Neodiprion lecontei: one gene and its partners. Each later gene encodes a partner of the first gene's protein in a complex. Links are inferred from orthologs where the notes say so. Each region holds a gene or a part of one and is shown in the gene's direction. Other genes may lie near its edges.

Region 1 (7,481 bases):
ACAGTCTTATCGACTCCGATATTGTTCTATTTGTATCAATTACAAGGTACTAGTAGTGTAACGTCCATCTGAAAGTTCTGATTTTTATGCAAAATTTTTGTGAATTTGCCGTTAAATATGTTATCCTCTATTTCATATTTTGAGTGCTTCAATGAGGAAAATTAACAGTTGCCTACATTGTTACTTTCATTACTTTCACGTGTACCTAATGCTTATCATTACGTATCGATGTAAATTGATTTCAAAAAAATGAATACAAAAACCTACTCACTATCAGTAATAATCAATACTTTAAATAATATCTCGATTCTGATTAATCTATTTTTTTTTTTCATTTTTTAAATACTTTTAATTTTTTTTCATAATACTTTTTCAGATCGAAAAGAAAAACGGTTCTCAGTATGTTGCTATTCCTATTATTGATGCTTGCATCCATCCTTCACACGACGCTTCTGTTTTTCTTCATGAACAAGTGAAGGGGACTGAATCTGGTTACGCCTTTGCCCTTGAATCGGCATATAACAAGGTGCATCCTCGTCCATCAGTTCGAGAGGTGGTGTGGGTAAAACATAAGCAGGGCTTGTGGTGTTGCTTGAACTGCTTGAAGAGCTTCTGTGTGTATTACCGTTGTATGTTGGATCAATCATGGCAGCAACATTGGGCATTTCCCTTATTTCATTCAACGGACTCTCCAGTACCTGAATTTCTTCTGGATCAGGATACTGCGAATAATTAGCACCAGCTTTTTGTTTAACCTGGTGTTGTATTTTCAGATCCAATTTGTCAGGCCTTTGTGGCTTTTCAATAGCATTCTGCCCCTCGAGTAGTTGAAGCTGCTGTTTTTCCAGTTTTTTTTGCTTCGCACGTTCTCTTGCTCTTCGTGCTTTTGCACGTTCTTTATCCTGTAGCATTCGTGCTAATTCTGCATCCTGAGCTTCCATCGCTATCTTCTGGTCAATTAGCAGCTGTTCATCTATCATAGAACCTTCACCCTCTGCCGTAGCTTCTTCTTCTTCCAGTTGTAACTTTCTTGCTAATTCCTATTCAGCATAGCATAATGATAACGTAGATAAGTAAAATTACCATAGACATCTTTGAATAACTCAGTTTTATGTGATTTTTATATTATTCCAGTATCATACAGCACATGTGGGAAACTACCTCTACATCAATTAGTATTGAACAAATATGTACGTGAAATTCTTGTTTCTTTATATTACCTGATCTTTTTCTTCTTGAATCCGCTTTTGCATCTCCAATTCAGCTTCTAGCTGCGCAGTTTCATCGTCGAGTCTGAGCTGCCGTCTCATTTGCTCTTGCAACATTCTTTCTTTCTTCCGTTCCTCACGTTCTAAATTTAAAGCAATTTGCTTTGCAACAAGTGCATCTTTCTCTTCCCTGTTGGATAATTCTTCATCAATTCTTCGGTTACAATGTTTCATTTTGACAAAAAAAATACCATGTTTATGAAAAAATAAACTTGAAAAACAGTAAATCAATTTTATGTGCAATTAAGTTTAAAGTTTTGTTTGCACAACACATTTTTGCACATCAATAATATAAGTATAGAACTATTTGAAAGTCGATCATGAATCCATATGTTTTCAATTTAAAAATAGTTTCACTAACTGTTGTTGGATAATGCATTGATATCTAAGGGCTTCAAGTTCTTGTTCAACTTTGGCCTTAGGTAAATCCTCGCGTACTTGTGCATTGCGAACCTTGTTTCCTGTGTAGTGTTCTTTAACTGTAAACAACAAAGGAGATGAGAGCCATTGTTGGTTATCGTTTACGTATCACAGTAAATTTCACGCAATTATTACCGTGGTTGAGACTGTAATAATATTGGTCATGACGAAAAAAACTTACTCTCCTCGTCCTGTAGTCTGTATGCCAATGCTCCATCTTCGTGTACCAGCCACTCCCGACAAACTGTAACCGTCGGAATTAACATTAACTCGAGAGGAATTAGCCGCAATTACGGCGCGTCTTGAAAAGTGACAAGAGAAAGCTTGAAGACTCTGGATATATTCAACTAACCTTCGTTTACTCTTCCTGCCTTAGGAAGGGTATCTGAACTCAATACAGACTTGGCCATATTTTTGGTTTTGATTATTCCTTGCGCGTTTTCTTAACTCTGCTCACAAACAATTTTCGTAGACAACTTTTCTTATTTACATCACCTTATGGGATCGCTTTGTTGTTCGCACCATCTTGAATATGCATTGTATACTACAGTCTGTAATCACTGTTCACACGTTTGTAGATACAACTACAAGCGTCATTTCACATTCGAGAATGGATAGTAGTGTTTACGGAAGGTTAGGTATAGTATGGTATAGTGCGTGAAGAAGCTATTGAAAATGTTTAATACAGCGACAGCGACAAGTCAGACACACCGATTGGCTGGCAGACTCATGGAAAAAATAAAACGTCAGATTAGCCAATTACATAGCTGTGGTTTTAATGCAAATCGAAGTATGACACTTTGCAATTTTTACAAATGAAGTTGGTCGCAAGGCCCTTACACTCAACATTTATGTATCAAGTAGTCAGACTTCAAGCTCACTTTCCTCACTTTCGAGACACTGGTGGCGTGTGTAAGATATAACCCTAAAACTAGGTACCCTTAACCTCAAAAGTGCATAGAAAGTTTCGTCACGTTTTTATTGACGACATTCGTGGAAAAAATGAGCACCGACACGAGTATTGAGCCTGGTCACAAATCTCGTAATGATTCCGAACCACAGGATGAATCCGCAAATGCTCAGGGTGTGGAGGTCATCGAAATCCTACCAGGGTTCACAAATTTTGATGATTTCGTTAATGTGAGTGTCACAGCTTCTAATCTCACTATACGTATTTAAAACAACTAAAACATAATGATTTATGTTGGTCAATTTTCTCATTTAATCGTCTATGCTGATCGTAATCAAATTATTTTTCCAGGTTGGATTTGAAGCACTAAAAACCGGCATAAAGGCCGCCAACGGCTTACCCAGTGGTGAAAAATATGACTACTACAAATGTTTTCCAACCTTTCGTAATATCATTAATGAGGAGATCAACAACGTTTTGGTCTGTATGCAAAACATTACAGAAGGTGTGGGAGTGAGAGGCAATATCAGACGGCGTGACATAGAAGAGAAGTTTGAGCTTTTGATTGAAGCTAATGATATTTTATTAGAGCGAGCAGTAAGTTGGCAACATCAGAAGAAAACCATTTACCTTTGGTTAAGGAAAGTAACAGAATTTAATTTATTTTTAGGGAATATGTATGGATGAGGCCTCAGGAATTCTGCGAAACCCAGATGTCGAATTTGTTGTATCGCAAAGTAACTCGACAGCTGTAAGCGGCAGCTGGAACAATCTGTCCTTCCATTCAAAAACTCAGCAAACTCAACCGGCAAATAAGGCTCAAGCGATTTGTTTACTGACGGCAAAGAATATCCAGCGACCGCAGTTGAAGTTTGAAGATAAAATTGATAACAGCATTAAACCTTGGCAACCTAGAATAAAGGATAAACCAAACTCATTGAAGCCACTCGCTCTGTATGTCGAAGAAGATGAAGATGGAGAATTTTTCAGCCATCCATACGAATTTGAACTTGATAGGTTTGAAGCACCTGAGCATCAACTGGAGTCTCGTGTTCCTGTTGAATATAAACATATAGACGACACTTCTTTAATCGTGATTGAAAAACCTGAAGATATAAAAATACTATTGGATGATTTGAGTAAATACACTGAGATTGCAGTTGACTTGGAGCATCATTCTTATAGATCATTCCAAGGCATAACATGTCTAATGCAAATATCAACCAAAGATACGGACTATCTTGTCGACACATTATCACTTAGATCTGAGCTGCACCAGCTTAATGAGATATTTACGAAACCGTCCATTCTTAAGGTATTTCACGGCGCTGGCAGTGACATCGAGTGGCTGCAAAGAGATTTGTCTTTGTACATTGTAAATATGTTTGATACTCATATTGCGGCCAAACAGCTTAATTTGCCATACCTAAGTTTGGCACATCTTATGAAGCGGTACTGTGATATTGATCCGAACAAACATTTCCAACTGGCCGATTGGCGAGTCAGGCCTCTACCTGAGGAGCTGATGAAATATGCAAGGGAAGATACTCACTACTTGTTGTATATTAAAGATAATCTTATGAATGCATTGCTGGAACAGGCCAATGGCCAAAGCAATATCTTGAAGGCAGTGTATGATCGAAGTACAGACGTATGCAAAAAGATATACAGAAAACCAGTCTGGTCGGAGGAAAAGTGTATGAATCTGTATCGAAAGAGCAAGAAAATGTTCAACAATAGGCAATTGTACGCTCTTAGAGAACTGCATAAGTGGCGAGATGCTACTGGCAGGGCAGAGGACGACAGTACTGGTTACGTTCTACCAAATCACATGCTGTTGAATATCGCTGAGAGTTTACCCCGTGAAATGCAGGGAATTCTGGCATGTTGTAACCCCATACCCCCTCTGGTCAGACAAAACGCATTATCGCTTCATAAAATAATCTTGAAAGCAAAGGAACAACCAATGATCAAACCTATCCTAGAAGATGATATCCGACAACGTATGACGCAGCGAAATCAAGTTACAGATTTAGAAACTACACTTCTATATTCACCTCATGATATGCCACATGATATGGAGATCAGAGCCGATTTACCTTGTTTGTTGGACCTAAACAGCTCTTCAGAAATTAATGTTACCGAACACACGATTCCTCATACTGTCACTGTATTTGACAGCCCCCCACAATCGGAGGTTTGATAACAAAAAGTGTACTTTAAGGGAGAATCTTACCCTGCGAAACTTGAAATAGCAAATGATTTCACAATAATTGCAAAAATCTAATTAATTCAGCTCTAGAATTCAATTGACTCAGATTAGGATTCTCCTATTAATTAATTTGATCAATTCATTTTCATCACTTAATTTTCTCAAGTACGTCTTTGAGGACATTTTTTTGCTTGTTTTTTTATTAGGATGAAAACACTGCGGGGCACATTACGAGAAAAAAAAGACGAACGCCATTCATCAGTCCTTTTGAACGGTATAAGCGTGTATTACCCATGGTAGCTGCAGAAGAGGCAAAAGAAAGAGAGAGACAAGAAAAAGAAGAAGCTGAAAGAATAAAATTGGTAGAAAATAGTGAAAACGAAATAGCAGAGAGTAAAAACAGAGTTTATAAACACTTCAAAGATGTGGTTGGAGCAGTTACTAATCCAATCAGCGTACAGCAATCCGCTGGTAGCAGTTCGAATCAGTCTATTGATTCTAAACAGTTCGGGCCTGACCACAAAACTTTGAGCCAGATGCAGGGAAGAAAACGTAAACGACAATCTAATTATCATGATGATACTAAACTGACAGAGTCGCAAGATGATTTATCGACACCGCTACCTTTCCTGCATAAAAAATTCACTCAAAATTATAGACGAGATAAACGAGAGTTGAATTCACCCACACAGGGTGTAAAGAAACAAAAGAAATCATACCACGATACAGGGCACAGTTCTTTCACTGAAGATACGGAACTTTCTGCAAATAATGAATTGTCTGTCAAATCACTCAGGTAATACTTCTACAATTGCGAAAAAACTATTTAGTGAATTTCTTCATTCATTTTGTATTGTGCCATTATATACACGCTTTACGATTCCAGCTTACTTCAGACTTGGAAAACTGTAAAACCGATTCTTATTTATTAGACCCAGAAAGTTTTTCCTGGTGCTACAATTTTTTCATGCTATCATCTATAGATAATATCGTACTTTTTGAACAAATAACAGAGAATTTTTTAAGTAACCTTGTAAAATAAGTAAATAATCCACCAAGCATTGTAATGATCAATTAGAAAGATGGTTTGTAAGAATAATATAATTTCGTGTATTTTTCAGAAACAATAAGAAGAAGAGTAAACAGGAAAATAAGAGAAATATGAAAGAGAAAGGTATTCTACCTAGAGAATCATTTGATTACAAAAATGTCGATTTCAGTAGTTTTCAAGGAGGCAGCCGCGCGCACAATCAGATTCCTTTCCAAGCTCAGAACAAGGTGAGTTGGCAAATTCGTATGGGTACAGCACTAAATTACTATCTATTGTTGTACAATTGATCGAATTCTTTTAATTGCGAGTGGAAAAGGTAGAAGCCCACAGCACGAATTTATGTTTACTCAACGAATTCCACTTGAATTTCAGAAAAAGAATGCACGAGGAAATCGAGGGAAAGGAAATAGAGGTAATAAGAAGCAAAAATGGAACTGCTAACCCCGTGGGTTGGTAAAAATTAAAATATGGTCCGAAAAAGGGTCACTTCTGTAAACTGAAGTAAATGATATATCGGGAATATTGGATGAAATTGAAAGCTTACACTACGTGAGAATTCAATCCTACTGTGATGGGACGGGATACGGAATAATCGTGATTAGCGCGAGTGATTACTTTCATAAAATATTCCGTGAATTAGACGTCGCATACCACAGCATATAGAACCATTCATCTTATTTGAATTTCTTTTTCTTTTACGTTTCATTCTTAAATACAAGTATCCATGTACCAATTATTGATATTATTGGTAAGATTGTCTAACTTTCAAACTGTTCAGAATGGTTTTAAAACAATAAAACGTTTCAAATATGAACATCAATCGTTTACATTTCTTACAGTGAAAACTGTGTATTAATGTCCCACATTATAAACTAATAAACTAGATGGTGGGTTTGGATACAAAACATTCTTTCATTATGATTCATTTCATCAGTCGTGAATAGTAATTAAGGTATTTGCTTGTTTTTCCCTAAATTAGGTCTACTCTTTTGATGAAATGTCAATTTGTGCATGGTATTAGCCTGGAAACTAGACAAACTAAAAGTTGAGTCATTTCCAGTGGTATTATGACAACATTCACGTGGATAGTGTATCACATCATAGCTTTCCGTCTTATCTGCATATTTCCTTCTAGATAAACAAAATATCAATCGTGGTCAGTGCGTCAAGAGCAACACTGACCTTAACATGAGTGCGTTTAGCATAATTATCTTCGGTATTGTGTCATATATGCTGTTTATTAACAACAATTGCAGTGCTACAATTATCAGTTCAGTACAAATTAAAAACGGTAGCTTAGTAAGATCTCATTGGCATGGAATTAGTAGTCTTACTCGTGAACGATTCAATATTTCTGGTATTATTTCGTCAGAGAGTGAAACAAATTTTCTTCGGTTGAGCAAAGTAGATTGTCTAGGTTTGGGTAGTGCAATTGCAAGCACTCTGCATTGGTTTTTTGTTGGTAGTTGCAAGGATTGTGACAATTTGAATGTAAAGTTTTACTTGTCATCGAGAAGGCAACGCCATCGAGTCGAGGTTTTAGTTGGAAGGCAATTTGGCTTGGAATGGACAGACTTTCAAATAAACCGAAGAACTGTTCTCATTGTTCATGGGTTTTTG
Region 2 (5,975 bases), on another chromosome or scaffold:
GTGATAGGGCTTATAATAGATCTTGTGAATGGAGTAAGAAAAGTTCGGAAAATTAATGGAAACACTAAAATATTTGCAGCTAGTCTACATTTGATTTCAGGTTATTGGATTTAAAGTGCACGCTGCTGCAGCTGAATCAGATATTTTTTTCATTTTATCATAGATTTTCTGAACTTTTCTCACTCGATCCACAAGTCTATTTCTATTATCATAAGTTTGAAGACATTTCAGCACTCGGATAAAGTAATAATTATAAAATACAATTTGCCTTTACAACTACTCAATAATAGGTCTGAACAACATTTATCACTATTTTCGGCGTTTAAAACCAAAATCAGTATAAGGCCTCTATGGGTGTACGTGTATATAAGTGGATGTAATCATTGTGGATGACCTTATATGGACATAAATTTTGATACGTTAATTGGCTACAATACATGAGCTTGGATTTTATGATTGAGAACGGAATGAAGGCTCATTGTAACAGATAGAGCAAATTATTATTTTGGCGATTGAGACAGCGCCGACGAATTGACATAGGTTGGTGGTTTGTGTGATCACATGTGCGGCGAAATCGACTTACATCTTCATAGTCCCTTTCGGTCCCAGGTTTGTTCTCATCACATCTTGGATGCCTTTTGCTGCCGATATATTAACAGCCAGAGCTTGAGCCGCTCGTGCAAACTCAGCTTTCGGGTTTAGGAGACTAATCGCTGCCATTTCTTTATTATTCTTATAATAAATAACGTAAGATAATCGTAACGCCGCGAATACACCCGCTTCGAGAAACAACTGCAGTGCCTTTTAGATCAGAAAACTTTCAATTAATGAATGTGAGTAATCCACGGTATAAGAATAAGAGGTGGTCCGACTGCCTCATACTCCCTGTGTTGAGCTCTGTGATTATTATGTCTTAGTACGACGGAAATCCGCCAGGGACCTCATGCGTCGGTAAGGATGAGCAAGGTCCCTAGATTAGGAAGGTCAAGACACGTTTGTTCCAGTTTTTCTCACTATAACGTGGGAAAAAATGTTCTATGCACGTTCGCCCAAAAAACATCAAACTTACATTACCGCATTAACCAGTTTTGACCAATCTTGTTCAATGTTTTGAGGTTAAGCATTAACGAGTTGCGCCCCTAGTGTCCTGACGTTCACGAAATAAATAGAAGCACGTATATATTTTGAGGTTAATCATTGTGACAGGTCAGAAATCAGAACCACACCAAGTGCTTTCAATTTAGAGCACAGTGTGACACAGCGTACAAATTTCTATTGTAAGCGGCCAATCCGGGCAAAGGAATAGACCAGAAATGTTTACACCGTGTCATATTGTGCTCAAACTGGAAAGCATCCATTGTCATACGAAACTTTTGGCGCATTCTCACTAATTTTTTTTTTTGCCCACACTTGTCTTGACCTGTCTAATCTAGGGACCTTGGCAACACCATAGACTTATAAAAATAGACTGAGCGCTCCTATAAAAGGCACTGACAATTACATATAAAGGACAAAGATATACCAGGAGTACTGCTCTCTCTTTTCAATCGGCCTCATGGTGGGAGACAACGGGGCAGTGGAACAGCTACAGATATAGGCGCATAATTTCGCCTCATTCTCCTCTACCGCCTCTATCCCCGCCAGAAATATCGTCAGAGAGAGAAAGGAGTACTCCCGGCATATTTCTGTCCTTCAAATGTTTGATTCAAGCGGCTCACAAGAGCGCTCGCTCTATCTTTATAAATCTATGGGCAACACAGAGAAACCTACAGCGCCACAGTCGGTCGAATGCGAAAGTGTACCTACCTATGAATATAATGGTTGCTTTCCATTTACTGACTCAAATCGACTCGTGTCGCTATTTCTGGTGTAACCGGCCAATCTGGGCAAAGGAATACACCAGAAATAGCGACACAAGTCGACTTGAGTTAGTAAATGGAAAGCACCCAATGGATCCAGCTCCCATTTTAAAGTGTACTTTTGTAGAGTTAGGCCCGGTCCACAACCTCCACACCTTGACATTAAAACCGAGTTTACCGCTTTAACCTGGTTGAACCGAAGGTTATAAACCAACAACCTATCGCAGCGCCGGCATTGCTTGTTACGCTGCCCCTGATGGCTGGCAACATAAATAAGCATATATACTTGTTATATACCTCTATGAATTTGGCAACAACAGCTTATTTTGTTTTGCAATTCAGCGCGTATCTCCAGCCTATCCTGCAGTACCAATAGTGAGCTAGTACAAAGTATGAAAGTATTACAATCAGTTGTTTTAATTTTAAATTGTCCATACGATTTGAAAAACTTTATTAACCGTCATAAGAATCCGCAATAATTAAACAGTGTGTTTCTTCTACAAGAATACTTGAGGATACAGTACATAACCTGAAAATGAATGATGAAGACATGATCCGCGTGCGGCTGGCAGTTCATCGCACAAATACGAATTTATCTAACGGTGACCATGGGATGCCCAGATATTATACACCCGGTGAAGAGGTGTGTAGTCAGCCTGACTTCATGAGGTACATCATAATCCATCTTATCCAATGAGCTCTTCTATCTCCCTAGTGGCTATTACCTATTGAGGAATGTGCTAAATCCGCTTATACCTATTTTCCCGCTTTTTCCAATAATACTCCTTACACAGTCCAACCAGATCCCGTGTGACGCATCACCCAATAAACGAGTGAAGATTAAATCCATTTTAATTGATCAATAGAAAATCCAAAAAATAAAATTGCAATTGTTATAAAAGCTTGGATTACTAGTTGAATCCGTTCCAACCGTAGTTTCTGTACCAATAAAGGCTGGTTATCAGGTATCAGGTATCATTACAGTTATAGTCATTGGAATCTATTAAATACAAGTAGAGTGTAGGTCAAAATATATGAGCAATTATATTTCAGAATTCGGAATCTTGTCATAGATTGAATTGGAGTTATAGCAATTTGAATTTCCACAATAAAGATCGATACGAAAACCATCAACGCACTAATGCTATTCACTGATTAACATGGATTTAACCTGTTGCAGTAATTAAACAGAAATAAATGGATTGAACTTGATTTGACAATGACGTATCAAACTGCATTTCAAGTGAATTTAAAAGTGTACAAAACAATCAAATGAAAATGGATAGAGATGTGATTATACAGTATAAATTGAATTGAGTCTTAATGATATTATGATCGTAATAAAAAAGAAATTAAATCAAAACCGTAGGCAATTATTCAAAACTATAAAATGATTGATTTAGTTTAACCTTTGTATCATGCCATCAGTTTTCTTCTGAAAATCGGGGTTTACAGCCATCAAAACAAATCTGTTTCAAAACGGTCTAATATACCTTTTATTTTTTTTTATTTTCTGGGTAAAGCAAAATCACTGAGCTTGATTGGATGAATGAATGTCTGCAGAGTGTTATGCATGAAAGTTCTTAATCCTATTTAAATTCAAGCTATATCACCAATTATGTACAAAGAGGACTCATGATTTGAAATTCATTAACTTTGAATTCAATTCTGTGTATTGTAATGTTATAAAGAGGTCATGGGACATACATGGATGACAATGACACGCTGCGCGCATCCGTCGCTGGTGTGCTAGAAAAAGTGAATAAACTGATATCTGTGAAACCTTTGAAGGCACGATACCAAGGTGAAATTGGAGATGTAATTGTCGGCCGAATTACAGAGCTTCAGCAAAAACGCTGGAAGGTTGATACTAACTCAAAATTGGATTCGGCCCTACTTTTATCCAGTGTCAATCTTCCTGGTGGAGAATTGGTAGGTTTGATTACCCCATCAATTTTCTCTACAATCTCCATGCAAAACAAGATTAGTGTTTTTTTTACAACGAAGTTCAATTTAGTAACAATGTTATTACAATACTGAAAAGTAATCACTGTTGTGCAGCACTAGGTTGCCTTACTGCCTTATTAAAATTTTTTGTTTTCCGAACAATCCCAATTTTGTGAAATAACGTGATTTCTCAGACATATGTTGTTACATCAACGTTACAAACCATATTTCGAATATTACTCTGAACTTGAGATGTTTCTAAGAACGAGTGTTTACCTATATGTGATTTACTGCACTTAAGGTCATGTAGTACTTCTATCTTTACTGACCGAGCAAACTCACCCTTTTTATCCCTATATTAAATACACAGACGAACGAAAAGGGTTTAAATTTTGACGGTGCATCTTTTCTTATGTATATCCCGAAAATCATGAAAAAAAAGTATGGTTTCTTGACATGTGTAACTATTGACATTGACGATTTTCGCGATATGAGTAATTTTCCTGAATGCCGCTACAAAAGAGCGATACATCATCGAAATTTGAACCCTTTCCGTTTTTTTGTTTTTTTAATATAGAAAAAAAAAGGGTGAATTTGTTCCGTCGGTAAAGGTAGTATTACAAGACCTTAAGGTTAAATGGGCCTTACTGTCTCAATGATAATTGGAAAAGCGAAAATTCCGTTCGAAAAATCACCTACTATGTTATATGCACCAATGATGGTGAACACGGATGAAGCAACATCCTAACTGAGTAATAGTAATAAGGATGAAGTTGGTAAAGTTATTGCAACGATGCGTGGTCGGGAAAAATCGTTACTTCGCATCTTCAGGATTGTTTAAAATTTAGTAAACCATAATAAACAAAACCTATTCATATCTTGAAAAGCCAACTCGTTGAAAATCATTCTTAAATTGAACAATATAATTATTTTTTCCCTGCTTTTTGATTACGGTAACGTTACTAACTTCAGCTTCGTTAATAGTAATAGTTGGAAGTAAATTTGATTAACACAAGCTGAAATATCAATAATATGAGAAAAAGTTTAATATTTAAAACATTCAGAATGATTGAACTCTGGTGCTTGGTGATTCTAATTTAATGTTCTGACCTTATTTTGTTGATTTTGAAGATTTCTGGAATGTTTACCAGACAATTTGCAAGGGTGGTCTAGTCAGTGAACAAAATGAATCCAAAATCTTTAGATTCGGACATTTGTGTTCACTATCATTGACGCAAACAACACTGCTGGAAATTTTTTTAACGGTTCTTTTCTCTATTTCCAACTTCTCACTTAAGGAGTACGGCACATTCATTCCTATGTAGAATGTCTGTCATTATTCAAAAATACCTTTCAGAGGCGGAGATCAGCAGAGGATGAACAAACGATGCGACGTTACTTGCAGGAGGGTGATTTGATATGTGCAGAGGTGCAAAATGTCTTCGCTGATGGTTCGCTGTCATTGCACACAAGGGTTTTGAAGTATGGAAAACTTTCGCAGGGGATTTTGTTGAAAGTGCCACCTTCGCTGATTAAACGAAAGAAGGTTCATTTCCACAATTTGTTAATTGGCGCGAATTTGATACTGGGGAATAATGGTTATGTGTGGATAGGTGCTAGCATTCACAACACCGATCGGACAGAAGGTGGATTTGCTCAAGATTTGTCCCGTATACCGCAGCAGGATCGAGAAATGTGCGCGCGATTGCGAAATTGCATTTTGGCTTTGGCTCGATCCAACATTTTACTCACTGATACATCAGTAATTTACGCTTATGATGAATCTACCAAATACTCTGCGAATGAGTTGCTACAACCTGAAGCTGCACTCGACGTTGCACTTCTCACACAGCAGAGGCTTGGTGAGAGAATTGATTGAGACGAAGTTAGCAACACAGAATCACCAAGCTATGTACTCGTTTAAAATACATGCGAGTTTACAAAACATTGCAGTATGACAGTCGTGAAAAATGTACGTTTTTAATATTTGTGAAACTGTGAAGTTGAGGATAACATTTTGCTTGACCCAAGCAGCAAAATAAGCTAACATAATGTCAAAATTTTCGAACATATTAATACGTATTTTAATTTTTTACTTTGATAAATTCAGACAAACTGCTTGTTAATTATAGCCATAAGTAAAATAAAAAGAATTTGACTTTCAATACA
Region 3 (4,666 bases), on another chromosome or scaffold:
AAACAAGCAAACGAATAAGTTTTCTAAACTACCTGTGCACGAAATTGCAAATTTTATGCGTATATCTATATGGACACGTGATACTCTGATTGCCAAAGAAGAAAAAGTTCGACACCGGGGTCAGGTTAACTAGGTAATTTAAACTTTAAAAGATGCAACGTATAGTTTTCGCAGAGCAATCTCGACACGAGAGGCGCCGCTTTAGAGCTTGCGTAATATCTGCTTGCATTAATAACTGCAAACGACGGTGAGATAGACGTTGAATTGAGCGATTATTTAATATAGGGCTATTTTTAATTTATGTACTGCGACAAACTCGTGGCTGCTACCAATTCTCAAAAACCGTGCGGGTCGTGAAAGACAAATAAACGATATAAACTCCCCTGAAACTATGCAGAATCTATTTAAACAGAGATATAAACGGAAAGTCGTCAATGTCAATTAAACAGGTGCGTTTTGTAAGACTATTTATTCAAGACGTTTTCACATCTATAAATATATTTCGAGTTTTCATCTTCTTTTATCTGTAGGTTTCTATTATAAATCATAGACAAGATATACTTGTACGTCATATACGTTGTACATGCATATTGCAGGACTGATTGTTAACCAAAACGAAGCCACGATATTGGTGTCTTCTATAAGCCTATTAACATTTTTGCTGCCCAACACAGAACAATGGAACTATTTCAACGACATATTTGACGCGAGTGTTGACGGAAGTATGCAGACGGTTACCGCTGAAAAAAAAACATTTCCAGACCATTACTCAGCGGGTAAGTGGGCCTAGAGCCATAAGAATCCGTGTTAGCGATCCTTTTTTACCTGCGGGAGCTGTTTAACACTCAATCTCGTTAGATACACAAAACCCAGTTAGGGCAACCGTCTTTGACAGTCTTCAGTCATCGCCGTGGGTTTCGTTGCAGACTTTGAATTGGCGGTTATTGCACCCTACTACTCCCTGACGTTTATTTAGGGTATTCTAAGGCACCATGGGCGAAACATGACAACGTGAAATTCCCTAGAAATCTTGGACTACGTCAAAGCAACCGAGTAAACATCAAACAACATACACCGAGATGTTTATGCAACGTAAATTCATCGATAACGTACAGCGTAATATAACGCTAATCAAAAAGCATTACAATTAAAAAAGGATACAAAATACACAAGCAGAAAAAGCACAGCGCCGGTGTCGAATAGAGCAAACGCGAACAACAGCGGCTCGGAAACCATGATTTCTACACGTAATTCAGCTGTCAATAAGTTCTCAGATTAGAACTAAATTATATCGGGAACAAGTTTGATTCGGTAAGCGTAACACCAAAGAATTAAATCTTTGTTTTTACAGAAAAGGTGTGGGTAAATCTATAAACTACCGACTGTCGTGGGACTGTCAAAGCCTCGTCAAGCACACTTCACGCCTCTTGCCACCAAGCATACCACTTGGCCGAGAAGAAAATGCCCTAGAATCGCAGAAAACCTTCGAGGCCGCATTGGAAAGCGACTACCGTACTGTCAGTGGATTGCGTACATTTTTCAAGGCACAACCATAGACTTATAAAGGGCACAACACCTCACATCCACTTTGGCTCTAAAGGGTGTGTTTCGAAGTTAGCTCCCAGTGCTGTCAATCATCTCTTATCTCTTTTGCGCTGCCGAGTTCGTGGGTAAATCTGCGTCTGTTCAAGGGATTTCTAGCGCTTCAAACTAATTACTAGCGAATTTAAACATGCTGATCATGCCTAAGCACAAATTTGTGCGCTTAATTTGAACACTGAATAATATTATTTACATGAACCTGATTAACTTTCCGTGCGCGTTCGGAGGGCGAAGTGGGCGAACGCTAGTCGATAATCTTATATCTTAGTAATTTGACAGTGCTGCCGGTACACGAACGCGTTTGGTAAGTGTTTCGTGGGTGTCGTTGGGCTTTCCATCTTCGTTTATTCCGATGATTCATGTTACCAACAAAACATATCTTTACTTACCGTCGAACACCTAGCTCACTTTAGTTATTAGTGTAGCCATGGTATAGCAGGAAAGATTATGGTCAAAGCCGTCAAAGCCTCACGAAAGCGTGGTTGAAAGGCCGAGACAAATTAGGTTGGGCAAGATCGACAACAAACGGGTACACCACGCGATTCTACAATCGACTAATTGTAAAAGGAAAGTGATACTGAAAGTATACAAAGTAAATTTCGCAATGTCTGGCCAAGACTTAGTGTCGGACCAAGGACTAAGAGTCGATGGACGACGAGCAAATGAGTTGAGACAGATTCGAGTTCGAATGGGTGTCTTCGGGCAGTCGGATGGGAGTGCTTACCTAGAACAGGGCAACACAAAAGTTTTGGCTGCAGTGTACGGGCCCCATCAGGTTATTTCCTATAACGTATTTCAGTTGTTCACATCCATAATTCTCTTAACTTGCTCATTGACAATAACAATTGTTTGCTACAGCCAAGAGGAGGGGGGCGTGGTGGGAACAGAAGTGGCACGGGAATTATAAATTGCCAGTACAGTATGGCTGTGTTCAGTTTTAGTGCCGGTGAGCGCAAGAAACGACCACGCGGTGATCGCAAGACCCAAGAAACGTCTCTGCAGCTACGCAGGGCTATCGAAGCTATTGTACAAGTAGAACTGTACCCTCGCTCTCAAATCGACGTGTTTGTCGAAGTCCTTCAGTCCGACGGCAGTGATTATTGCGCAGCAGTAAACGCAGCGACTCTCGCTCTAATCGACGCTGGTATTCCCATTAAGGTACTTCTAATAATAACTTCTTACGCACTGTGCTTTTACTGATTTCTACTATAAAAATAATGAAATTTGATATGCTTTACTTACAGGATTACTCTGTAGGATGCACAGCAACGATAGCCAGCATGGGAGCTTCGGAAGAAGTTGACAGTAAGGATGAAACAGGATCTGGAACAGGAATAGTTGATGCAAATCATATGGAGGAATGTACAGGAGCGACGACATTAACTGTCGTTGCTTTACCAGGAGCCCCTGGCTCTAATTATGAGTCAGATACCGACAATTCCGGTTTAGTAGTCGTGGCGCAAGGAACTGGTGCACGACTCCATCTCTCCAGGCTCGAAGGGCTCAGGCAACGGGCGTTGCAGGGCTGTCGGGATACAAGGGTGATTCTTGATCAAGCAGTTAGATTCCATTTAACGACACATGATCCTCATTTTATTTAGTACTATGTTTAATTCATCCCCATATTTGTTTTACTTATATATGTGTGTATGTGTCGTCAGCTATGCATATGAAATGAACTAATGAAAATTTGAAATGGATCATGATTTATTGTACTATTTCATTACGCTTTTTTTTTCCTTTTTTCAAGGTGTAATAAATCTTAAAAAATATATACATGTACACATTTATATAACAGATATCTCCGACTGTAAAAATATAAATTCGTTCTTTCAGCCTAGTTTTGAAAGGGTTCGTACTCTTTTGCATTTATAAAACGTTTAATGCAGTGTATCGTATTTACGAATAGAAGATTAGAATAGTTTATTCTGCAGTTCCGTTAAAGTTTGGCATCTGGGTGTCTCTCCAGTATCATTCCAACTCCCTGTAAATAAAGATAAATGGTTCATCCGTCATTGATTACTGCAGCGCATGCCAGGCTTGAGGATCCAAGAATTAAAATTTGTGTATAATAAAATAAGAAATCATTGCTGACCTGACCACCAGCAGCGCAGGCAGCAATTAGCCCGAATTGTTGATCCTCTCTGATCATGCGGTTTGCTGTGTGAGTTGCTAATCTAACTCCAGTAGCGGCGAAGGGATGTCCGATAGACAGAGAACCACCCCAAGCATTCCACTTGTTGATATCTGGCACACCAATTTTACCTGATCTACCCATATATTTCTGTGCAAACCAATCAGAATCCATGGCTTTCAAGTTTGCTAGAATTTGTGCAGCAAACGCCTCATGCACTTCCCAGACTCCTATGTCATTCAAGCCCAGGCCGGCTTTTTCCAACACCTGTGAGGCGTTTAATTTATATACATTTTTGTATTTCGTGCAACCTGTATTTAATGTAACTAGATATTTCCATTAATTGGGGGATCAAAAAATTTTGTTCCATATGTTCGAATTTTACAGTTCCAGTACTTAAACCAGCCAAATTGCGAAATCTGTATTCGTATGACAGGGTCAAAATAAAAGCTAGGGAAGATAATTTTACCTTTGGGATAGCATAGGCAGGTCCCAGGAGCAATTGGTCGACCGGATCCTGCGATACATAAGTAAAGTTCCTCAGATATGCTTTTGGTTTCAGTCCAAGCTGCTTAGCCCTTTCTTCAGTCATGATGAGAGCAGCGGATGCTCCGTCAGTCAGGAAAGATGCGTTAGCTGCTGTAACAGTCCCGTATGGTTTAACAAACGCTGGCTTAAGCTTAGCTAGCTGTTCTGGTGTAGAAACTCGAATTCCATTGTCCTTGTCAATGACGTCATTCACACCAGGCACTGAAAAGATGTGAAACTGTGTTAATCAACAAATATACATGTGGTATGAAATTATCCAGTAACGTTGAGGGAATTACCTTTGAATGGCGCAATATCAGATAAAAATCCTTGCTGTTGGGCTTGGGAAGCGAGAGTATGCGAGCGCAAGGCATACTGGTCCTGTTCTGCCCGAGTTACTCC
Region 4 (5,490 bases), about 16 Mb from region 1:
AAAGGAACAAGTTTAACCTTCAATAACATACCGCTTGTCACTTTCATCCATTCTCGTATTTGCAGGTATCACCGGTACGGAGATTTTGTTCGGCCAGGTGGTGACCCAGTTCGTTGTTATGTGCGGCCAAACATTGATGGTCCTAGTCTTTTCGTTCGCGGTATTCAAGCTGACATGTCATGGCAGCATCGCTTTGGTGACGGTTCTGACGGTGCTGACGGGGCTCTGTGGAATGTGCTTCGGTAATTAATCTCACAGTATTACCGGTTGAATTTTCGAAAAGATATGATTGAGTGCTACATAACATAATTGCTATCCGCAGGTTTCGTGGTTGCCTGTGCCTGCGACAACGAACGAAGCGCAACTTACATGGCGATGGGTTCTTTTCTGCCAATCGTCATGCTCTGTGGGATCATTTGGCCAGTCGAGGGGATGAATCCGGTCCTCAGATACATCAGCTTTATCTTGCCGTTGACGAAGAGCACAGAGTCGATCAGGGCAATGCTCGGTAAAGGATGGCCCATATCTCAGCCAGCCGTTTACGACGGTTTCATCTCCACGTTCCTGTGGATAATAATATTCCTCACATTATCGATATTGCTGATTAAGTTCAAGAAGGGTTAATTATGTAGGTAAATCAATTGGCGATCCTCCTCATCGCACCCCATCCTCATTGTACTTTGTTTAACTAGCGCTCATCTACAAGCGACGAAACTATCAAGGCGTTTATTTAAATCATGCAAATTGTTATTTCTATGGTAGAACCTAGCTTATCCGACATTCGATTATCCAAGGTTCCGCATTATCCAAGAGGCCCATCTCATCCGAGCACTCTGCATTCACCAATGTGTATATCTTCGGATAATACGGAGAACCTTGGATGAAACTGAACAATCCACTGTGCCTTATGTGTATGAAATAGTTTTGTGTCGCATCTTTATTTGAATACGGATAAACTTGTAAAAGTTTCTTGCGATTTGTGACATTGCGAGCAATAATCGCTGCAGTTCCGATTCTGGAAGCTAGGGTAAAACATCGTAATGGCATGGATTGTACATGTTTTCCGTATTATCAGAAATTTCACGCATCCGAGTTATGCTCTCCCCATATTACCTCGGATAAACCAGGTTCTATTGTATTTCTATCTTCTTTTTTCACATCAACTTCGATTTGCTATTATTTAATTTTTCTTCGCAACAGCATCGATAATGCGATTTAAAAGATATTTTCGACCGATCAATTATTGTATAAATTATGTGATTTACTGATATAGCGGATTATTTATAGGGTATCACGTATCTACAGTCGATTCAATAAGTTTTATGTATACACATATCCATTTTTGTTTGATACGTATAAAAAAAAGTATTCAACGCATCTCAAAGTGACGATGTTGTTCCAACGTGTGTGAATAATATAGTATGTAATTCAACAAAAAAAATTGTACATTGAAACGCAATTGAATAGATATTACTATACCTATTATGTGTACTTGTGAGCTATGTGGACTCCTGGAATCGAGCTTATATTTTGTATAATATAACAATGTGTAATAAAGAAGGTAATTAATTATATAATCATAATAATGCGTTTGAAAATATGTATCTGAGATACTAATGTAACCCACTGTATACATTTTTTCAAACAATTACTTCTATGATCATGTCATTACTTGTTTATACAGGTGACTTTCTTTTAGTTCAATTCAATAGTTTGTGTAGTCTGTGACTTTTAAGTTATAAGTAGAAATATGTTAATTAATATGTACATTTGATAATTACGTAATGTTGTAGCATTGCAGCGAATAAACTGTCATAAATGTTATGTGTCAATTATGCGACTTGCTGTTAGTATTCAACAGGTTTTCCGCGTATGGTGGAGTAAAACTTTCAGTGCAAGCACCATAAATTTTAAACAACAGAAGAACATCGAGCGGTCTGAAGTAATGTACGAAACCTTTTCAAATTAACGCGGACTTCCGGTTATACAAACTGGCGGGAGAGCAATTTAAAAAATTTTAATCACTAATTATTTTTAACAATCGCAACGAAACTCGATCAAATTTGATCAACGATTTCTTGGAATCGGTTCACATCTTGCGAGATTTATAAATTGGAATAATTTTCTATTGTTAGAATTTCGAACATTGATGACGGAAACTTATTAATTTGTAGAAATGAAGGAGGCGGCACTTTTGAATTGTTCATTATTTTCAACCTTTACAATTTTAACATTGTCATCCAGGTATTAAGAGCTAATTACTTAACCCCTTTTCCGCGGTATTCCGAGACTTGACTGAAGTCAGTCAACGTTCCAAATGATTGGTGCGACGATGATTTACATGGATTTACATTTAAATCATATCGATCAATTGATCATTTGCGATTTCGAGGCTGACAAAATTCTGTTTACAATCCAACCAATCCAACCAATCCAACTACAATATGACAACCCAACCTAACCTAATTTCAAACGTGCTCCACATGTTGTCACCGTTGTCGCAATTTGAAAAATAATAATAAACTTACATAGATTCAAAACTGAAATGGACGAAAGAAATGAGCCAATAGTGTGTGTTCCAGGTAAGGATGAATGAATTACGAAATCGATAAACATTTCCCAAGTTTTCTACGCAGAAATGTCCCAAATGAATTGGCCCGTCCTATCCTCAATTACGTTTTGTTTGTATGCAAATTAAAGGTGGTTAAGACTCATGATAAATTTTTATTGCAATCCAGGTCAGAGGCTCTGTTTGTCGGACAAAGTAAATGTTCCAGGACCGGGAACTTACGAGCAGCACGGATATATTTATTCAAAATTAGCAGGAGTGGTGAACTTGGTTAAAGATGAACACGTACGATAAGTTTTAAGATATTTCACGGTCGCTTGCCTTCAGATTAAACATCATTTCTCACTTTCTATTATCAATAGAAGAGCACAGTTGAGGTGCACGGCATAAGAGAACAAAGCATTGTCCCAGCTCCCGGAGACATTGTAACAGCCGAGGTAATGGTCGTTAATCAAAGGTTTTGCAAATGCGTTATAAAATGCATTGGGGATGTGGTTTTGACCAGACCTTACAGAGGCATTTTAAGAAAAGAAGACGTCAGGGCTACGGAAAAAGATAAGACTGAAATGTACAAATCTTTTAAACCAGGAGATATTATTCTGGCTAGAGTTGTATCCTTTTTCTTTGAAAATTTTTTTCTACCGTTCGTTATCAATACCGCAGTTTCATAGTTGGCTACTTTTCCCATGCAAAATTTAGTTACCTCTCACCGAAGTCCATACTTATCAACTTTCCACTGCCGAGAATGAATTGGGAGTCGTTATCGCCCACAGCGAAGAGGGTAAGCAGAATTATTTTTTTATAGCGGTAGAAAAATGTCAAAGAATATATACGCTATAAAATATTCAATAGCTCTCAGCTCTCAGTTTGAAGATATGTAAAACAAAAAATCAGCACAATACAGGTTTTCATCTTTGTGTCATAACCATTTACACTTCATTTATCAAAATGAAATCGTTTGGAAAAATTACCGCCTTAGACTCGAAATGGAAGTTTTATTGTACTTTTTAGGGTGAATTGAGATTAGTTGCTGTGAAAACAAAATATCACTATTTGGAAATTATGGATTTTGTTGAGTAAAGGGTTAATGTAGAAAATTCCTCGTTTTTTTTTTTATACAGGTGTATCTATGGTGCCTGTAAGTTGGACGGAAATGCAGTGCCCAGAGACCCTAAACAAAGAATTGCGCAAAGTAGCTAAAGTTGTACCGGAGCATATCGTTAATGAAAAATAAAATAAATGTAAATTGCATTCATAAACGGACTATTCATTTTGCCAATGTGCCACAATGAATAGCATAGTTGGATGATTGTGTAAACTGGGTTAAACATATAGAATCAATATTGTCTCAATTTCTATTGAAATGCTTATAAGGAACACTAATTTTTGTTGGAATGTCAAGTACTTTATATTTATATATATACATATATAAATACGTACTCATATATTTGGAGTAATTTTTTATGTACATACATTGTAGACAGCTTTTGCCTGTCGAGTTGCAATAATACTACAAATTACTTATCGTACATTAGAGAAAAAAAATTACACTTCACTAGGTCATTCACAAGGTCAATCTCAAACTTTACTCCTCAATCCATTGAGTAATTCAATTCTTTTGTTATTGCACATAAAATGCAGAGTTCACAGAAAAAATATCCTGGAAGACTCACTTGCTGCAATTTTTTTCCTCCCATAATTCAGTCTTGTTGTGTATTGCAATTTACAAAATCCACAAAGAATGACCTTCGTTTCTTTGTGTTAGATCCCCAACACGTTTAATTTTCGTTTATTCTTTTCAGTGACAGTCAACTCAAAATACTCTCAAGCATTCTGTAACGATACTAACATGTTCGATTTCTTTTCCCAACAAGGATACACTGATAAATCAAACCTGGCTACTATTTGAATGTGGTGAAAAAGACCAGTGAAATGCGATGGAAAGAGTTTCAGGCGAGAGAAATATCTATAATATATTTACAAATAATAGCATAAAATCTAATTATAAACGGAATAATTGGGCTGCACCGAATTGATTTACTTTACAGCCGCGTACAATGGTTTTCACAAATTTTTGAAAACTTCCAATGCGAGTGTGCTAATTGAAAAGAGTGTGAAATCGTATATACGATATTGTTTGTGAAGTTGCCATTTCGATTATCTGAAGCAAGGGGTGAACAAGAAATGTAATTTTACTTTCGATATCACGTGTGTTGAATATACCGTGCTGATTATTATATATTGTGAATATAAGCCTCTATATGTTAATTTTAAACTACGGCAACTGCAATTATGCTAATAAATAACAAGATGATAACAATCCAATAACCGCACGTTCGATCTTTACGATCAATTATACCGACTTGGCGAGTTCCATTGATTAATCGTTGATCGGTCCTCTCCATGTGATCGGCCAGATCATCGATTATTTCTAAAACAAACGGCGAAATGAACAAACTAGTGTGAAAAAATTCGCGCATAGGAATAATTAATTTTCCGATATCTATTACTGGATTGTTCAAACCCACAAATTGTGATGGTATACAATTTTCATTGCGAATATGCAACATAAAGATAGTGAATCAAAATACTCACCATTCTGATGATCGACTTCATTATTAATGGTGTTTGCGATATCCTTTTGTCGAGAAATAACTTTTGACAATGCTTCCAGACCTTCATCTTGTTCTAATAAAGATTTAAACATGAATAACTTCCGATCTAAGAATTCTGTTTTTCATTTATAATAGTTGACAGTCACATTTGTGACAGTAAAAACTACAGAATAAATCTTCGCCGAGCTTGATATAATACCTTGCAAAAGTCGTAACTTTTGAACTTTCAAATCTTCGACAGATACTTGAATGTCAATAGGCTGATCGTCATCTTCTTCTAGTCCCCAGCTGGTCGTTCCCATATCG

What was found.
Region 2: exosome component 10 (region 1) and exosome complex component RRP4 share a complex: the UniProt entries of both Caenorhabditis elegans proteins name them as parts of the RNA exosome complex. The link is inferred for Neodiprion lecontei from reciprocal best matches to the Caenorhabditis elegans genes crn-3 and exos-2.
Region 3: exosome component 10 (region 1) and exosome complex component RRP41 share a complex: the UniProt entries of both Caenorhabditis elegans proteins name them as parts of the RNA exosome complex. The link is inferred for Neodiprion lecontei from reciprocal best matches to the Caenorhabditis elegans genes crn-3 and exos-4.1.
Region 4: exosome component 10 (region 1) and exosome complex component CSL4 share a complex: the UniProt entries of both Caenorhabditis elegans proteins name them as parts of the RNA exosome complex. The link is inferred for Neodiprion lecontei from reciprocal best matches to the Caenorhabditis elegans genes crn-3 and exos-1.

What each region holds. Positions count from the first base shown.
Region 1 is NC_060263.1:36,946,671-36,954,151, forward strand, and holds exosome component 10, read left to right. Parts: upstream 1-2,510; 5' UTR 2,511-2,690; coding exon 2,691-2,828; intron 2,829-2,949; coding exon 2,950-3,195; intron 3,196-3,268; coding exon 3,269-4,795; intron 4,796-5,016; coding exon 5,017-5,606; intron 5,607-5,931; coding exon 5,932-6,088; intron 6,089-6,233; coding exon 6,234-6,302; 3' UTR 6,303-6,681; downstream 6,682-7,481. Other genes in the region: coiled-coil domain-containing protein 50, read right to left, coding at 417-1,040, 1,221-1,398, 1,630-1,747, 1,870-1,932, 2,041-2,098; pancreatic triacylglycerol lipase, read left to right, coding at 7,050-7,481. UniProt on the Caenorhabditis elegans protein: Catalytic component of the RNA exosome complex which has 3'->5' exoribonuclease activity and participates in a multitude of cellular RNA processing and degradation events. Involved in apoptotic DNA degradation.
Region 2 is NC_060261.1:25,394,149-25,400,123, reverse strand, and holds the start of exosome complex component RRP4, read left to right. Parts: upstream 1-2,123; 5' UTR 2,124-2,249; exon of another isoform or gene 2,250-2,363; 5' UTR 2,364-2,394; coding exon 2,395-2,528; intron 2,529-2,571; exon of another isoform or gene 2,572-2,824; intron 2,825-3,550; coding exon 3,551-3,791; intron 3,792-5,163; coding exon 5,164-5,685; 3' UTR 5,686-5,975. Other genes in the region: T-complex protein 1 subunit zeta, read right to left, coding at 584-720. UniProt on the Caenorhabditis elegans protein: Non-catalytic component of the RNA exosome complex which has 3'->5' exoribonuclease activity and participates in a multitude of cellular RNA processing and degradation events. Involved in regulation of antisense ribosomal siRNA production.
Region 3 is NC_060262.1:41,627,576-41,632,241, forward strand, and holds exosome complex component RRP41, read left to right. Parts: upstream 1-1,930; 5' UTR 1,931-2,206; coding exon 2,207-2,377; intron 2,378-2,460; coding exon 2,461-2,760; intron 2,761-2,846; coding exon 2,847-3,203; 3' UTR 3,204-3,358; downstream 3,359-4,666. Other genes in the region: protein cornichon homolog 4, read right to left, coding at 1,162-1,236; trifunctional enzyme subunit beta, mitochondrial, read right to left, coding at 3,542-3,586, 3,698-4,003, 4,206-4,486, 4,564-4,666. UniProt on the Caenorhabditis elegans protein: Non-catalytic component of the RNA exosome complex which has 3'->5' exoribonuclease activity and participates in a multitude of cellular RNA processing and degradation events.
Region 4 is NC_060263.1:20,668,736-20,674,225, reverse strand, and holds exosome complex component CSL4, read left to right. Parts: upstream 1-2,445; 5' UTR 2,446-2,545; coding exon 2,546-2,582; exon of another isoform or gene 2,583-2,738; coding exon 2,739-2,854; exon of another isoform or gene 2,855-2,931; coding exon 2,932-3,180; exon of another isoform or gene 3,181-3,268; coding exon 3,269-3,350; exon of another isoform or gene 3,351-3,690; coding exon 3,691-3,803; 3' UTR 3,804-4,211; downstream 4,212-5,490. Other genes in the region: ABC transporter G family member 20, read left to right, coding at 66-242, 323-624; syntaxin-8, read right to left, coding at 4,840-5,000, 5,165-5,257, 5,384-5,490. UniProt on the Caenorhabditis elegans protein: Non-catalytic component of the RNA exosome complex which has 3'->5' exoribonuclease activity and participates in a multitude of cellular RNA processing and degradation events. Involved in regulation of antisense ribosomal siRNA production.